Saccharomyces cerevisiae S288C: one gene and its partners. Changing the gene in region 1 together with any one later gene gives a genetic interaction. Each region holds a gene or a part of one and is shown on either strand. Other genes may lie near its edges.

Region 1 (4,311 bases):
GGAGGTTTATGGAACTTAACACAGAAAATTTCTCGGATTTACCAAATGTACCGACTTTATTAAGTGATCTCACAGGCGTACCACGAGATAGAATTGAATCAACAACCAAACCGATCTCACAGACCTCGGATGGTCTCTCTGCATTAATGGGTGGTTCTTCTTTTGTAAAAGAGCATTCCAAGTATGGTCATGGTTGGGTGCTTAAACCAGAAACCTTACGGGAAATACAATTATCGTATAAATCTACAAAACTACCTAAACCAAAGAGGAAGAATACCAATCGTATTGTGGCGTTAAAGAAGGTTTTAAGTTCAAAAAGAAATTTACATTCGTTTTTAGATTCTGCGCTGCTAAACTTGATGGATAAGAATGTCATTTACCACAATGTTTACAATAAACGATACTTCAAAGTGTTACCCCTAATTACGACATGCTCTATTTGCGGTGGCTACGATAGTATTTCAAGTTGCGTTAATTGTGGAAATAAGATTTGTTCTGTAAGTTGTTTTAAATTGCATAATGAAACTAGGTGCAGAAATAGATAGTAATGATCAGTATGTATTCGTAAGCCCTTTTTTCTCCCCTATTTATACGTATGTAAGTGTAGATACTTAACAAAAATATTCACAAATTAATTGAAGAGGAAAGGTGAAAAATTCATAACTTTGCTTTTCGTTTATTCTCATTTTCCAAGGCGTCAAAAATTTCATCAGCAGCTTGAGATAAATAATAGTGTAATCTGTTAACACTGGCTCCACTCTTGGCTGGTTTGTTGACAATATTGATATGCAGCCACTCGTTATTCAACATGTATGCCAGTCCAAACCCGTTGTCATTTACTTGAGACCAACCATAACCGTCAAAATATTCCGAAGATAGTTGAGATGTGGAGATCAACCAAGTTGAAGAATAATTAAATAAGGGATCTTTGAAAAGGGGCGGAATTTGGTCATCATTAGATTTTAGCATATTCTTTAGACCGAAGAAATGACGATCGACACCATTACCATTTGCAGCATTTTTCAGGTACGTAGAATGCTCTTTTGCAGAATGTTTCAAAGCCTGAATCTTTTCTGCAATAGGAACATCGCCATTTTGCCATTTAGAAACAAATTCTAAGGAGGCGGTGGACACAGATCTACCAGTTTCAGTACGGCCTTTGAAGTATTTTCTCGTGGAAGCAGCCTCGTAAGTTGGTAGTTGTCGTTTCAGATATTTGAAAACCGCCAGTTGGATAACTTGTTGAATAAATGCATCAGGTGACATGCCATGGCGTTTTATAAACGTTTTTCCGTATTTGTTGTAGTGCCAAACACGTAGGTCATGCTCACCAATTGTTTCCTTAAATTGTAGTTGGGCAGATTCGATTGCTTTATGAATCTTCGGTGTGATAATGAAGGGCAGTTCCATAGGTTTCATTGCCACCGTAGATGATGGCGTAATTACTTTTCTCATGAAGTCATCCACATCTAGTTTATTCAACTGCTGACAAACGTAGTTATTTAAAAACAATGTTGGCGTACCATCCATCTTCGAGTGTTCAGCTAAGAAACCTGATGAACCATTACCGGTGACCAGGAACTGTAAAGACTTATCGTAGAATCTGTTAATACCATCACCGTGCCAGCAATTTCTTGACTTTTCTTCCAAAGTGACAGGGGATTGGTCAAGATCCAAACATAGCATAAAGGAAGACTTATGGATTGTTTCTAGTGAATCCTGAGAAATAGGATCCTTCATAAGCTCCAGATGTACTTCACGCCATTGATCACGAGGTAAAGAGGTGAGAGAACCAATGCCACCTAGTTTGGGATCGGACTGCGATCCTTGGAATACCACAGAGTACAGTTGCCTCCAGATTTCGTTTTCGGAAAGCGGTTTGTCATTCCCGTCATGGGTCATCAGTTTGTAAAACTTCCCTTTATAAGCGATAGTTACAAAGTTGTTCTCATAAACTGAATAAAAAATATTTGTATCTTGGTTATCCTCTGGCTTACCAGGCAATCTCGAAGTGTTAAACATCAATGAAAAACTATTCATACAAAATGGCATACCTTTGATAATTTCTACGGGTAAAGATTCATCTTTAATAGCTTCGATGAATTTAACCACGGTTGAGATAATCGCAGTAGCCTTAATCAAAGGATCATTATCGATCTTCGATAAATGATTCGGTAATGGCATATGAGAATAAAAATAAGAGACGTATGGAACAATAGGATCGTTGTATTGTAAATAGGATTGTTCATCCCAAAACTTGGCCATCCAGTTTCTTTTATCGTTGGCATACTCTTTCAATCGGTCTTGTAAGATAGGCCCCATGTGCTCCGAGAAGTCCTTACATAACAGCTGCTGTCTTTCAAAAGTTTCTACATCATTGCAAAATGGGCGGATGGTTTGCAAATACTTGTCAAGTGTAGACTTCAATTCGGGCACGGGTAATGATGGTAAGTCTTGTTGTTTAGCAAAGGTAATGCCTTGAAAATTGGGCCTTTTGTTCTGGTAGAATTTGTTCGGCTTTTCCGCCCAATAGTGTTCCCCATTATTTGTCTCTACGGGAAATTGGGCCTTTTGGGTGGAGTAATTGACAATGGCCGAATGCATTGCTCTCCTTGACGTTATCGGAAGATCCTTTAAGTTTGAGAGAGTTCTCGAATGACAGATCCTCATGAGTGCTTTCTTTTTAGTTTTTAAGGGATATATATATATATATACCTGAGTAAAAGAGTCTGTAGGGAAGGGCACTTTACTCACCGGCGTTTAGTTGCTCTTATATGCGAAAATGGGGAAAAGAGGATGAAATTGTTCCAATATGTTATATTCCATTCTTTTTGTCGAACAAGGATGACTTTGAGAGGAATAGTCATTCGTTTTTACTTAATCCCCAATTCTAAACCCTTGGGCGGGGGGAAGTGATGGCGGGGATAAGCAGTCATTTGCCCTTTCGCCCGGCCATAGATCAAGAGTCTCGGCGGCTAAAAAAAAAAAGTTTGCCAAATATTGTAAGGCTAGCGGCAAAAGAAAAAGCAATCTAAAATGGTGGTAACAGTATCCAAAGTAGGACTAAAAGAAAAGATATAGATAGAGTTGGCTTATAGGACATATAGCACAATTTTTAACGGAGAACCAGTTTGTTAACGAGATGAAGAATTGGTAGCACGCTCTTCGGACTCTCCCTTAGCCACTTATTCGAGTATATGGCGGAAATTAAATGTACTCTGAAACAGCGTTGAGAAGAGGTGAAAAAGTTGGACCGATATGTTGCTTAGCCACCTTTTAGTAATTATGTTACTTTATTCTAGCGAGAGTTGATTTTTTTTGTTATGTTATAGTCGTCTTTATTACAAAAACAGCTCATAATACTGTGAAGTGAACATTAAGCGCTAACTGTAACATAATTTACCCGGACAGTGGATGTATTCTCTATTACCCGCGTTGAAAAATGAAAAAAAAAAAAAAAAAAAAAATAAAAAAAGAAAAGAAATGGATCATAATAAACATCTCATCTCATCTCATCTCAGATGATATAGCATCGCTAACATCTAAAAAAGTTATATTTTCATTGCCAATTATATTTTTGAGTGGGTTATACTTGAGCATTCTTCAATAAAAAAGTGTTTTAAAGAAAAAGAAGAAAGAAATTGAAGCACGAATAAAGTTAGAATTAAATTCTAATATGATGCATAAACCATGTTTGAAGTCCCTATAACTTTAACTAATAGGAAGTTTGCTCAAAGAAGAAAGTTAAAGTATCAATACATAAATTACATTTCTAGAAGATTTGACAGAATTTCCAAGAAATCTACTACCACAGATAGTTTGCCAACGCCCGAAAATTCTGCAGCTGAAAATAATGACGAAGAAGAAGGTCAAAACAGTGAAGCCGGCACATATAGGAGGTCAGTACTACAGCAGAAGAAAAGAAGAAGAGAAAGGCATTGGAGGAGTGTGGTCGGTGAAATTTACTCTACTACGGAAAGCGAAACAGACTCTCAAGAGGAGGAAACTGAGGAAGGTGGCGAACATGACACCGGGATAGACAAGGAAGATAGTGATGAGGAGAGAAAATTTTGGAAAAAATACGAAAAACCTGAGAAGAGTTTCGAAATTTGGCGAACAGTGTCCTCACAAAATAAACAGCCCATTAACAAACAAAAAATGACGTATCATAATTTTAAAAAAATTGAAAAGATTCCTTTAAGGAAAATGGAAATTCCACTTTTGCATTGTACAAAGGAAAATAAACTTTACTTCCAATCTATATCTAGAGGGTTAGAGCCATTAAAAACATCAACATCAGAAGTCAGAAAC
Region 2 (3,960 bases), on another chromosome or scaffold:
TAAGGATTGATAATGTAATAGGATAATGAAACATATAAAACGGAATGAGGAATAATCGTAATATTGGTATATAGAAATATAGATTCCATTATGGGGATTCCTAGACCCTCGAGGAGAACTTCTAGTATATTCTGTATACCTAATATTATAGCCTTTATCAACAATGGAATCCCAACAATTATCTCAACATTCACCCATTTCTCAGAATGAGATATACTTTGAGTAAAAGTGGTGGAGGATATTACTTATGTCCTTGGTAGCATGGGTCAAGATAGTTGTGTTAACTTGTTAATTATTTTTTACTATGCTTCTCAATTAAAGATGAAGTTTAACGAATGGTCTAGACTTATTCTCACAGTTTACCCGGAGGTCATCATTCTCTTTAATGACAATATTTACTCTGTCGTCACTTTCGTAATTGTTTCGTGTCTGTTTCGCAGTCCATTTGGAATGCGACAGTAAGTTAATTACAAGAAGTAGTAACAACAACTTAGCGATAATGTTTCTCATGTGTGACGCAGGGTTACTTTTGACTTAAAACGACCATTTTGCAGTTTTACTTCACGTTCGCAAACTTTCAATAACTGGCTGTTAATCTGGTCGTTAAGAAAAAGGTCAATGACGATGGCAGGGAAAATAGGGCTGTATCCCAGACTTCAGGCGCTGTTCTGCCGGGATTTTTCAAAGGAGGGCGTGTGGTCTAGAGGTATGATTCTCGCTTAGGGTGCGGGAGGTCCCGGGTTCGAGTCCCGGCTCGCCCCACATTGTTTTTACAATGTGTGGTGTCGCTACTGGCAGAAATGGTACGGCATTTATCTTTCCGACGTAAAACAAGTGTACTCAGGAGCAGTTTTTTTTTGCAATATGCTAAAACTCGTACAATAAACCAAGGCGCATGGCATGTTTGAACATTTACTCGTTATTTCGGAGGTTCCTCAGATGGCTGAATGGAGGTACAGATTATGATTTCTAGAAAACTGCAGCGGACTTTACAGAGTAAGCTGGAGAAGACCAATGTTAATGAAAACTTGAACTGCTGAAGTGTGATATTCAATGTATGAGATAATCCATTAAATCATCTACAGTTTAAAGACTGTAGGCTTACATGACCGTTTATCACTGCGATATTGGAGGAAGCGCTTCGGATCAATGGACCTTTTACTTAGCAGAGCGAAGGCTGAAAATCATGAACCCCAACAGCATGTGTGACCTCTCTTCTCACGCCTGGCAAGAAACCAAACTACGGCATACATTCAGCGCACCAAAAAGGAACTCCGTACTATTTACATTAAAAACAAGAAAATGTGTTGCCATTTCCGTAAAATGAATGGCCCATGTTCATACGCGTATGCAACCGTCTTATTTACACTCCGACTAATGTCCTTCTAATTACTGTGGAAGACGGCCGTATAAGCGTCCTTCTGTGGTTTAGATATGCTATACCGGCGGAACTTTGTTACACACGGCTCGCGCGAATCCTTAGGGGAAAACATTGCGCTGACTTTCCCCAGAGTTGTTGCCACAACATAAGCCGCTTTGGAGTGTTGAACAAATCCGTCCTTGGGTCATTCAATCAATGGCTTGGCGGTATCTCAAAAGAGCGCAAACTAATAGCGCGCACATTCGACGCATTTATCCGGTGGTCATCGACTAGGGGCGAAGAGGTCACGACCTATTTTTTCTTGCAGAAAAAAAGTGTGACCTTTTCCGTAGCTAGACGTCTATCAGGGCGTCAGCAATGGGAGGCACAGCGGAAAAACAATAACAATGGTAAGCGCAATTACCTTTTGAGCGTTACATTCGTATGAAATTGGTGACGTTAATCTAAAGATAGTCATGCTCTCAAAAGGGCCCATTATTCTCGACGTTGAGCGTATATAAGACTATTAAAACTTGGTTCTTTAGATATGGTGTTCGTTCCTCATTATTAAGTTTCAGGGAACAATATCAACACATATCATAACAGGTTCTCAAAACTTTTTGTTTTAATAATACTAGTAACAAGAAAAATGACAGTTCCTTATCTAAATTCAAACAGAAATGTTGCATCATATTTACAATCAAATTCAAGCCAAGAAAAGACTCTAAAAGAGAGATTTAGCGAAATCTACCCCATCCATGCTCAAGATGTAAGGCAATTCGTTAAAGAGCATGGCAAAACTAAAATTAGCGATGTTCTATTAGAACAGGTATATGGTGGTATGAGAGGTATTCCAGGGAGCGTATGGGAAGGTTCCGTTTTGGACCCAGAAGACGGTATTCGTTTCAGAGGTCGTACGATCGCCGACATTCAAAAGGACCTGCCCAAGGCAAAAGGAAGCTCACAACCACTACCAGAAGCTCTCTTTTGGTTATTGCTAACTGGCGAGGTTCCAACTCAAGCGCAAGTTGAAAACTTATCAGCTGATCTAATGTCAAGATCGGAACTACCTAGTCATGTCGTTCAACTTTTGGATAATTTACCAAAGGACTTACACCCAATGGCTCAATTCTCTATTGCTGTAACTGCCTTGGAAAGCGAGTCAAAGTTTGCTAAGGCTTATGCTCAAGGAATTTCCAAGCAAGATTATTGGAGTTATACTTTTGAAGATTCACTAGACTTGCTGGGTAAATTGCCAGTTATTGCAGCTAAAATTTATCGTAATGTATTCAAAGATGGCAAAATGGGTGAAGTGGACCCAAATGCCGATTATGCTAAAAATCTGGTCAACTTGATTGGTTCTAAGGATGAAGATTTCGTGGACTTGATGAGACTTTATTTAACCATTCATTCGGATCACGAAGGTGGTAATGTATCTGCACATACATCCCATCTTGTGGGCTCAGCACTATCATCACCTTATCTGTCCCTTGCATCAGGTTTGAACGGGTTGGCTGGCCCACTTCATGGGCGTGCTAATCAAGAAGTACTAGAATGGTTATTTGCACTTAAAGAAGAGGTAAATGATGACTACTCTAAAGATACGATCGAAAAATATTTATGGGATACTCTAAACTCAGGAAGAGTCATTCCCGGTTATGGTCATGCTGTGCTAAGGAAAACTGATCCTCGTTATATGGCTCAGCGTAAGTTTGCCATGGACCATTTTCCAGATTATGAATTATTCAAGTTAGTTTCATCAATATACGAGGTAGCACCTGGCGTATTGACTGAACATGGTAAAACCAAAAATCCATGGCCAAATGTAGATGCTCACTCTGGTGTCTTATTACAATATTATGGACTAAAAGAATCTTCTTTCTATACCGTTTTATTTGGCGTTTCAAGGGCATTTGGTATTCTTGCTCAATTGATCACTGATAGGGCCATCGGTGCTTCCATTGAAAGGCCAAAGTCCTATTCTACTGAGAAATACAAGGAATTGGTCAAAAACATTGAAAGCAAACTATAGTTGGATTACATCCTACTTTTACACCCCTCTGCATATTTTTCTTTCCTCATGACCATTTAGTATTTAGCACTTATTTAATACAATAATATATTCTTTTAACCATACACTATGATAATGATATTTATAATTAAGAAAATGAACGTTACTATTTCCTTCCTCGTTTTAGTTACATAAAATTTACTAATGGTTGGAAAATTGCGGAAGCTATCACGCGATAACTAGGTACACACGCATTATTTTTATAATCCCATTATTAATAAATCCGTTATGACCCTTTTAGTAATAACTTATTAAGAACCTCCGGGTAAAATACTGTACTGCGGGGAAAGAAGGCGCTTCCCCTTCTTGGAACTTAATATAAATAATAAATTTGCCTAAGGGCATTAGGCCTTACTGCCTTGGCTAGCGTACTTATTTCGATTCATACAATTTGCACTATTCCGGCAGCTAGTTGATACTATAACATCCTACATTTTTACTTGTTTTACGTTCATTTTTATTTGAAGTTTGTAAACTTTATCAGAAAGAAAACAAGAAGAGGAAAAAGGAAAAGAGGGGTCAGGTTAGT
Region 3 (3,066 bases), on another chromosome or scaffold:
AAAAAACTATCCAAAACCCTGGGCAAAATAATTATTTCGAATAAGTACCTCGACTTCAAATCAAAACAAACAAACAAACAAGCAAACAAACAAATAAACAAACAAATTCTCTGTTCCTATTTTCTTCCTCTTTGTTCTGCACTTCCAGCTTTTTATGCGAGAACATCGTGTAAACTTCCTATTTAAGTAATTACATGGCTGAAAAAGTGAACACGCTAGAACACGAAAAGACAAAAAAGAAAAATGGAAAAAACAGAGGAAAATCAAGTAGAATAATGTTTATTTACCTTTCACTCAACTGTATCTTTTTGTTTATTTACTTTTCGAGTTTGCATAATTGTACTGAATCAATCCTTGCGCAATTTGGTTTTGAGAAGAGTTTCCAGTAAAATAAAATGCAAAATTATTGTTTATATACTTATTTACTAGTATATTTAATTGAGCTAAGCAAGGATTTATGTGTTGATGCTTTATTGTGCTTTTTGTACTGGACTTCTTGGTCTTAACAGCTCAATCTCATTTTTTAATGGGATATTCGAACCTAAATTAGCTATCTCTTCTTTATATCTCTTGGGTGAGAAGTTATCCAACATAACATCTGGGCTCACTATAACCCAGCCAGGTCTTACTTTGACGGGTGTCTCGTAACCAGTCCTTGCAGGAATAATATGTAATCGTCTAGTCGCGGTAGAGAAGTTTTCTGCAATACGATACAAATGGGATGGTACAGCACCATTAGTGGTGTCCTTCGTTTCGATACTCAAGTCAGTGTCTACGTTACAATGAATAAGATGTCCATCTGTAGACCTCCTTACTGTACCTGTGATACACATCCAACAGTGCCATTGCATTTTTTCCATCAACGTTTCATCGTCCTGATCTAAACCTGGATAAAACGGTGATTTCTTGTCAATAGGAACAAAAACCAATTCTTCACTTCTTCTAAACTTTTTAGCCCATATTTCATTATTCAAAAGTTTAGTAAGTTCATTGATTTTTTGAGAATTGGCCCAGATGAACAGGAAACCTGGTTTGGAGATCAATCTATCCAATGGCAATTGGGTTAAAATTGGGTAAATAAACTGATTTTCTGTTAAGCAGCCAATCATCACCACGTCGAAAGTCAAATTTTCGTTCTGTATCCAGTGATTCAACGTTGGAACAATGGAATCTATTCCGATTTTACACCCAAATGGCGTAGTGGCAAATTGATTTATTTGTTTAGCTTTCGCCTGAAATAATTTCTGAAGTTTTGGATAGCCATCAACCCTATTCTCAATATTAGTAACATGCTGTTGCGGTAGCGACTTCCCATGAATGTAGTTATTCGAGTAATCGTTTGTATGGAAGTCTCTAGAGGGTTTGAATGATACGTGTTTAGATTTCATTTCTATTGTTTCCTGGTTTGGCCCTTGCAAGTGACTGTTGTTGATGTGTCTGCTTTTATTCTGGTCGTAAGTTGGATCTTGGAATGCCATCTTAATAGTATTCTCACTTCTCTTTTGTTTTATAATGGCTGTTCTACTTTCTTCTATGTCATAATATTTAACAAAAAGTCGCACTTGAAAAGTTGAAACAAGTTATGTCGCAAGATGAAACTCGGAAATGACGAAGTGTGAAACAAGACTACAGAGCGACAAAAACCAAGCTGCAAATATACAGTAATGAAACTGAAAATATGTCCAGCAAAACTAAAATTGTTTGAGCTCGATACTAACTTCCTTCTTTTTTTTTTTTTTTTTTTTTTTACTTTTGGCTATCCTATTGTAAACGCTGTTTTACCCTTTTGCAAAGCATTTGATCACAAGATATATCCCAAAAACTATTTTTTGACTTAAGGCATTAAGAGGAGATAAGGCTCCTAATGTCACATCCAAAAGCCAAAGTATGGGACAAGCATTTCGCCCCTTTGCTCTTATTGCTTCTTGTTAAGTAGAAAGGGTAATTATAATCGAAAAATTCGCGGGAAATGATTTCAATGTTCGACTCTGAGGTAAGAAGTAAAGAGGAGATGAATAAAAGTAAAGGAAGAAGAAAAGAAAGTTGAATGGTTTCGAAGAAAAATACGGCTGAAATCAGTGCAAAAGATATATGGGAGAATATATGGAGTGGTGTAAGTTCGCTGCTTGATTTCTTCGCAGTATTGGAAAACCTAGGCGTGGTCAACGATAAGTTATATGTAAGTGGGCTATTACGGAAAGTTTGGCTGTGTTACTCGTGCATTTCAGTGATAAAATGTGTATGGAAATTAATAAAATTATGCAAGGTGAAATTTAAAATCGATCAACGATTGGATGGGGAGGGAAATGGTCTAGTAAAGGATAAGTTGATAAACTTCAAGAAAAAATATAACGAACATATCAGACATATTACTGCTGCTTTACTCCAAGATTTGAGCTATTTAATGGTTTTAATCTATCCAGGGACGAGGTTATTTAAAAGATTATCTAACATAATAACACTTTGTAGAATAATTGTATAATTTTATGCTTGAACGAATTTAGTTCTGTAAGCCCAGCTCCTTCAAGAAAGCATCCTTAGAAGGTTCCCTACCCAAAAATTCTTTCAGATTATCATTAATATCATAAAGGCCACCACGAGCCAACACAATATCACGGTATTGTATCCCATTCTTGGCATTTAACGGATCCTTAGCGAATTTGGTGTGATACATATCAGTTGCAAAGACTTCCGCCCATAGATAACCGTAATAACCGGCAGAGTAAGAGTCTGACATTATATGGCCAAATGAATCATAACCCTTGGATAACGTACCACCATTAGAAATCAAAGAAATATCCTGTCTCAATTGGTTCCAGGTATCGCAAATTGACAGGTTTTGCAAGTCTTTACAAGTATGTACTTTCATATCAAATAACCCAAAATGTAATTGTCTTAGAGTGAATAAAGCACCATTTACGTGTTTAGTTTTGATCAATGAATTGATCAAAGATTCTGGAATTTTTTCGCCCGTTTTGTAATGTGATGAGAGGTTGATTAATTCATTCTTATTCCAAGTCCAAAATTCTAACATTTGGGAAGGTGCCTCCACAAAATCCCATGGAA

The links.
Region 2: mutations in CAT2 (region 1) and CIT2 impair growth when combined (synthetic growth defect), as found in Saccharomyces cerevisiae (one study listed by BioGRID).
Region 3: of CAT2 (region 1) and PEX34, changing one suppresses a phenotype caused by changing the other (phenotypic suppression), as found in Saccharomyces cerevisiae (one study listed by BioGRID).

The regions. Positions count from the first base shown.
Region 1 is NC_001145.3:191,147-195,457, reverse strand, and holds CAT2 (carnitine O-acetyltransferase CAT2), read right to left. Parts: upstream 2,671-4,311; coding exon 658-2,670; downstream 1-657. Other genes in the region: VPS71 (Vps71p), read left to right, coding at 1-545; RRN11 (Rrn11p), read left to right, coding at 3,691-4,311. UniProt on the Saccharomyces cerevisiae protein: Carnitine acetylase is specific for short chain fatty acids. Carnitine acetylase seems to affect the flux through the pyruvate dehydrogenase complex. It may be involved as well in the transport of acetyl-CoA into mitochondria.
Region 2 is NC_001135.5:120,378-124,337, reverse strand, and holds CIT2 (citrate (Si)-synthase CIT2), read left to right. Parts: upstream 1-2,009; coding exon 2,010-3,392; downstream 3,393-3,960. Other genes in the region: YCR006C (uncharacterized protein), read left to right, coding at 1,335-1,808. UniProt on the Saccharomyces cerevisiae protein: Peroxisomal citrate synthase involved in the citrate homeostasis. Catalyzes the condensation of acetyl coenzyme A and oxaloacetate to form citrate. Citrate synthase is the rate-limiting enzyme of the tricarboxylic acid (TCA) cycle.
Region 3 is NC_001135.5:26,341-29,406, reverse strand, and holds PEX34 (Pex34p), read left to right. Parts: upstream 1-2,047; coding exon 2,048-2,482; downstream 2,483-3,066. Other genes in the region: KAR4 (Kar4p), read right to left, coding at 471-1,478; PRD1 (metalloendopeptidase), read right to left, coding at 2,501-3,066. UniProt on the Saccharomyces cerevisiae protein: In concert with the three peroxisome divisional factors, PEX11, PEX25 and PEX27, controls peroxisome morphology and abundance under conditions of peroxisome proliferation. Maintains mature peroxisomes in actively dividing cells.